2 linked regions of the Callithrix jacchus genome follow. The protein of the gene in region 2 interacts with the protein of the main gene of each other region in a biochemical or structural test. Links are inferred from orthologs where the notes say so. Each region holds a gene or a part of one and is shown on either strand. Other genes may lie near its edges.

What was found.
Region 1: the proteins of PTPN3 (region 2) and SCN5A form a complex in vitro, tested with the Homo sapiens proteins (2 studies listed by IntAct, with this or other methods). The link is inferred for Callithrix jacchus from reciprocal best matches to the Homo sapiens genes PTPN3 and SCN5A.

Annotation. Positions count from the first base shown.
Region 1 is NC_133518.1:76,507,615-76,511,214, forward strand, and holds the start of SCN5A (sodium channel protein type 5 subunit alpha), read right to left. Parts: upstream 2,251-3,600; 5' UTR 2,085-2,250; intron 1-2,084. UniProt on the Homo sapiens protein: Pore-forming subunit of Nav1.5, a voltage-gated sodium (Nav) channel that directly mediates the depolarizing phase of action potentials in excitable membranes.
Region 2 is NC_133502.1:157,753,992-157,757,141, reverse strand, and holds the end of PTPN3 (tyrosine-protein phosphatase non-receptor type 3), read left to right. Parts: intron 1-309; coding exon 310-445; intron 446-1,067; coding exon 1,068-1,145; 3' UTR 1,146-2,459; downstream 2,460-3,150.

The DNA of each region.
Region 1 (3,600 bases), on a different chromosome or scaffold from region 2:
TTTGTTAGAATAAGACTCTTGACTATCCCAGCCAAAGGAAACCACCTCTCCTGTGAGTGGGCTCCGGGAACGGACACACTTCTATCACTGCACACCCTTCCAATAACCTTCCCAAGAGTGAGCGGAAGCCAGCCTACTCTGAACAGGACACAGACTGCAATTTGCCACTGTCCCTGGCTGCCCTCAGGACTCCCCTCTCCTTGGATTGCCTGGGCACCAGCCTCCGCTGTTCCCCTAACCCCAGCTGCCTCTGGTGCTTCCCACCAGTCCTCCAAGCCCAGTCTTCATGCTGAGTGAGTCAATCCTAGAATTTTTTCAGAGGAGCTTTGATCACCACAGAGAAGGGGCCGAGCACCTTGGAGCACAGCAGCTGCCCATGCCACACTGGGCTGAATGCTGGCTCTTGGCACCCCAGGGCCAGTTCCTCTTCTGCTCAGATCCTCTTGGGTCAATTCTAGGCTTATTTGCCCCACAGAAAGCAGATCTCAAGGTATCTTCACCCTGAGTGGTGCTCCCATTCCACTGACTCTCTAGAAGACATTGAATAATTCCTTGAGCCCCTCTGGGCCTCAGTTTCCCCACTTGCACAATATGGTGGTGACAGGATCAAAAGTTTAATGAGGCTCTTTTCAGCACAGGGCTGGACACTGAAACATAGAATTTGCATTCCATACCCTGGCTGTCGACTGACCTGACCCTCTCCATGCTCCTGAGACAGCAGCCTGACCGCCCTCATTCCTCCTCCCACTCATTACCACCGACTCAGGTGTACCTGCCCAATTCTAACTGAGTGGAGATGAAGTCAAAGAGATGGAGTTGAGGGCAGTGGCGAGGGCCTGGGACTCCAGTAGCTGGTGCCGCTTTTGCTTAGGGTCCGCTAGATCCTGAAGGATGGTGGGAACCTGGGAGAGGGCTTGGGATGCCATGGCATGGTGGGGGTCATGTGGTGTTCCTGTCTGGATGATACCGCCTAGGCTCACCGGGAAACACACCAGGGGTCTCAGCAGGAGGTGAGCAGACACCTGGGAATGGACCGTAGGCCCAGGATGTTAAAAGGAGATGGATCCCATGGCCCGGGGCTGGGCTGAAGGCACTAAGGAGCACAAGTGTGTCCTGCACTATCTCAGCCATGGCGTCCTGATCTGGCTGTGCGCTGCTTTCCAACAGTTGTTTGCAAGGCAGGCCTACTGTCCCCAATATCGTTTCCCCCCACCCTCATCACTACCACTAACAGTCCCCACACCTCTGCCCCCGACCAGCCCTTGGCCTCTCAGACAAGGCTTGGCACCTCCACTTTCTACCAGGGCGCCACCAAAGACGATCAAATAACACAGAGTTCGAGAGACACCTCCCATCAGGGTTCGTGGATCTGTCCGGCTGAGAGAGAGAGGAAGGCAGAGAGCCCTCTCCCATCTCAGCGCGTAGAGATCTCTCCCCCTTCTAGCAGCACAGAGATCAGACAGAAGAGATGCGGCCCCTTTAGTGCGTCAAAGGGCACCGAAATCTCTCCATGATCTAAGGGCGCAGAGATCTCGTCCCACACAGAGGACAGCCCGAGCAGACGGTTCCCTCTGTGCCCAGAGAAAGGGGGTGCTTGGCTTCCTCCCTCGTATCCAGCCCCACTCAGTCAGCCCCCGCAACCCCCGCTCTCTGGAACCACGATCACTGCGCGCCCAGTCGCCGCTCTGACCTTGGGGTCTCCGGCCTCCGGAATCCGGGTCCCAATCCCAGACCCTACCGGAGCCTGCGCCAGGGATGGCCGGGAAGCGGGGGCCGCAGTTCCCCCTCCCCCGGCCCTCGACAGCGCACCGGGAAACCCGGAAGGAAAGGGAAGGGAAGGGGGGCGCGCGGTGATCAGGGACGCCTCCCCCGGGGATCCCCTCCAGCCGGGCGGATCTGCGCTCCTTCTCCCACTCCGGCCCTCTGGGGCACTGGTCGGGGAGGGAGCGGCCGGGAGGACCTGGGGCAGGGGAGGAGCACGCAGGGTCTGGAGGCTTCGGCTCTCGGGGAGGAAAGTTGGGCGGCGGCAGGCAGAGGGGGCTCCGGCCGGGCCGGGGCTGCCGGACGCGGGGGCGCTCGCTCACCTGCTGGTCCCCCGGCCCGGCCCCGGGGTGGGCGGCTGCGGCTCGGCGCGGACTCGGCTTGGCACGGCGCGAGGCTCGGGGCACTGGGCGCGGGCTCAGCGGCCCCGGGGGAGCAATCCCCGCATCCTACGGGCGCCGCCGCCGTCTCGGCTGCGCGGCTCGGTCCGGGCTCCCGGGCTGGGCAGGCGGCGCGGGCTCGGGCTGGGGGCGGGGTCGGGGGCGGGGCCCGCCTGGGCTCGGCCTGGGGCTCGGGGCCCCGGGCTGGCTCCGCCCCAGAGCGACGCGCTCGGGGCTCCGCACGTGGCGCTCCGCCCGCTCGGAGGGGGACACACCCGCGCCCGCCCAGCCCGCCCGGGCGCACACGCCCACACTGACCCGGGGGCGCAGCGCCACAGATGGCCACCCACGCAGAGGCAGACAGACACGCGGGGGGTACACACGCCGACCCGGGGACGCTTCGCCACAAATGGCCACCCACGCAGAGGCGGACAGGCACACACTGGCAAACACTGTCGCGCGCGCGCGCGCGCACCCACACACACGACCTGCTGACTTGGGAAGGCTACAGCAGACACCCAACCACCCACCCACGTGGACACGGGAGTCCACTGACACTCATGCCGAGACAGACACACGCTGCCGTAGGCATACCTGCACTGACACAGACACACACCTGCACCCTGAGACAGACACACACACCCACACACCCACAGACACAGACAGACACATCACTGACACACAGTGACACTGAGGAAGACACGCTGACAAACTCAGACACCCACATGACTTAGACACACATCCACTGACACACTGACACAGAGACGCACACACTCCAACCACACTTTCCTGGAGACACAGGGATGGCACAGACATCTGCACAACGGTACACACCTACCTGAACACACGCACACGCTGACAGAACCACACACACACCCAGACCCAGAGTTAAGCAGGCAACCGACACACAGACACACACACAGACATACACACACAGAAACACACACACACACATTCACCCTCCTGGGCCACACAAAACCTTCACCTTGTCGTACACAGAGGCCTGGAGTCACACACCCACACACCCACTGTCTCGCACACAGAGACAGGGTCACAGGCACACAAGCACGGAGACAGACGCTGACAAACCGTTGCTCACACGCCCCTACCCAGAACCTGCGGGGACACACTTCTGCTTTAAACGAAACAGGCTCCCAGCTTTTGCCCACAGATCAGAGCGGCCATTGGAAGGGACAGTGCACTCTCCTGCCACATTTTCGGGGTTCCCGGAAGCAAGAACCGCTCTGAGAGAGACAAATGGGCGCCGGGGTCCCAGAGGGCACAGAGGTGCTGAGTTTGGGAGCCCGGAGGCTGGGACCTGCCCCTCGGTGATCAGGATCTTGGAGACCTGGGAGGGCGACGAGCGGGTGGGGGATAGCGTCCCTTTGCAACCTGGGTGTGGGGCTTCGCTGGACGCCTTAGGGACATACAGAGGGGCTGCTCTGCTTGCAGGAGGGGA
Region 2 (3,150 bases):
CAGCGCAGAGCTGACGAAGAAAGTCCCCCGCACGCCCTTTCTCCTGCCCTCTGTCAGCTGACCTTCATCATAGATATGAGTGAGAAAGGGAGGGGATTTGGCACTTAGCACTGGCTCTCTCTCCACTGGCTGTTAGCCCCCAGCCTCGGCTGTGTGAGGATAGGCTGTCTCAGCCTGTTTGAGAGCGCACCCTGAGTGCATTTTGTCTTCTCCAAGGCCAGGAGAGGAAAGCCCCTTCTGAGTCAACACTGGGCCATGCAGAAAGGCTACTCAGACAAATCCCAAATCTGTCTCCTCTCCCCTTTCCAGTGCTGGAATAGGTCGAACCGGTGTGTTGGTCACTATGGAAACAGCTATGTGCCTAACTGAGAGGAACCTGCCCGTTTACCCCCTGGATATTGTCCGAAAAATGCGAGACCAGCGCGCCATGATGGTGCAGACATCAGTGAGTAGAAATCCAGTAATAATGATGGCTGTCCCCTTCTGAGCACTTACACCAGGCAGGCCTGAGAGGAGGGCTTCGTCGGTCAAGAGACTGCAGCTCAGGGGACTGAACCACTTGCCCAGATTCTCAGAGCTTGTCAGTGGCTACAACCCACACCCATCTCCCTTCTGAGCTCTGCTGCCTCTGTGGTTTGTCCTACCAGCCCGTCTGTCAGGGAGGAGCCCTGGTTGGATTCTGTATCATTGAACCATCGTTTCTACATCACCTTCCTACCTAGACCTGGGTACTCCTTTTGGCTCCGTGCATGTTTCATATGACCCTACTTTGAGATCTGTCCCACCCATGTGGTCCCTGAGTACCTGCACAGTCCTCCATGGGTGGAACAGCTCAAAGCAGGGTCATGTGCCACATCCTCTTGTCCTCAAGAGGAACCCTTGGGGATTTCCCCTGGAACTCCAAGCAGGGCGGTGACGCGGTGTGGAATGAGCATGATTAAGGCTCCACACAAATGGGGGAGTTGGCACTCAGGAAGTATTTACAAATGCTGCAAAAGACCCACCGGTACAGGGTGGGCAGCATTTCCTGAAGCTACGGGACTTAACAGCTTTGTTTTCTTTTCCAGAGCCAATACAAGTTTGTGTGTGAAGCGATTCTTCGTGTGTATGAAGAAGGCTTAGTCCAGATGCTGGATCCTAGTTAAGACAACTGTGAAAACGTCCGTTCCTCTTTCCCAAGGCCATCCTCCTTGAGAGAGGAGGGCAGACCTCCTCTCTGGAAGCAGCAAGAGGAACCAGTAGCTGTGGGAAAGGAATGGGCACCTCTGAACCCAGGCACTTTAAATTTCTGTAGAAAAGACATTGTGTACATAGGAACTGGTGTAGATAAGCATGCATTTATGGCATCATTTAGGCCTGTATTTCTATGGAAAGATACAAAAGGGATCTCAGTTTGGGGCCTGTCCTAATGCCTTCTTCCCTAACATCACCACACACACCCCTGTTGGCATCCTGGAGCAATTGAGACGGGACACCCACAGAGCTGTTGACCTCCCAGCAACAAGATGGTATAGTTATCTCGGGTCGTTTGGATGTTTTGTTTCTGTGTGTCAGACTATAAGGGCTGAGCTTTCTGTACTTCTAGGTGGAGCTGGAACAACTCAGGTTCACCTGCACTGATGCTAAGGAAACCCTGACAAATATACTAAATGGCAGGGTGCTGGGGGTCAGGCTGAAGGCTGAGCAGCACCTCTCTGCCCTCTCTCCCTTTGTCTCATCTCCCGGCAACTTCTGATACTCATGTTTCTGAGAATCGTATCCCCCTTCAGGTTTCCTCTTGGTGCCTGACCTGGATTTGTAATGTGCATTCAGGTGAGTTTTCAGCTGAGACTCTGAGAACTGGGACCCTCAGTATGTTCTGGTCATCTCGTGGCTTAGTTGTAGAAGCAGGTGTGTCTCTTGTCTCTGCTTGCCTCCTACTGCACACTCAGCACCCAGGACTGGAATCACTGACTACTGAATCTCCTACATGTATTGCTGCTACTTCAAGTTCCTACACTTGAAACTTTATGATTTTTCCAAGGGGAGATGGGACAATGTCATCTAAATATTCTGAATGTTTGGCCTTCAAGAAAAGAGCGTCTAGTAATTGAACCATGGGAAACCGAGCTTCTGGAGGGTTGGCCGTGGGGTGTGTACGTGTGTGTGCCCAGGGGTGAGTGTTTCTCAGGATTTCTAACGATTCAAATTACCGTTGAGTATACATAAAGAATGAGTCTCTGTATAGAAGAACAACTGTGTGCATTCACCCCCAGTTACAATGGTCTCCATTGCATTTCAAAGGAGAGGATCAGACTATCTGAATATAAATACAATCTGATGTTAATTTATTCTAAGACCATCACTTTGATCGTCCTAAAGAATTCTGCCTTTGTGAATACTGTGTTAAATTTTTTTAAATTTGTGACAGGATTGTAGCAAATTATTATTTAAGGAAAATAAATGGCATAAACATTTAATGTGGCATTTTTAAATAGTGGTTTTTATGTATTCAAAAGAGAGAGTTAAGCCAGGTTCTTAATGGTATTTATGGAAAAGATGTTTCCCTGTTATCGTGCACAGAAATGAAGCCATTTTGATATTCAGCAAATTCGGTGCCAATTGAATAGTTTGCTGGTGGCAAGATGGATAAAGACCTATATAAGGGGGTGGGAGGACCCTAAAGATTCTTTATTTCCAGAGCTAGCATATTTACTTGCATGCTTTCCGTCTTTTCTACATGGATATTTTACTGCCAAGTGGCAGAGGTGGGAGGGAGATGTCACACAGTACCATAACCCCATACTGCAAAACAAGAAACCACCAGAAAGTTTGCAGCTGAGGGGCAGGAGACTCAGTTCCTGTTCCCACTCAGCACTAACTACTTGGGGGCCTGCTCACTTAGCAGCTCTACCTCTTTTTCATTATCTGTAAAATAAAAACAATACGTAGGACTTTTAGATTGAACATGAGGATTGAATAAGATCATGCTATTCATGTGACTTCATCAGCTGGAATATCAACAGCCACTGCTGTGGATGAGTTACTTAGAAAAGTTTAGTTATCAGTGATTAGCCCAAAAACATAACAGTCAAAAGCAGAATCCACTGGATTTTTGTTTCTCTTTCTAGAGACAGGGTCTCGCTGTTGCCCAAGCTGGAGTACAGTGAC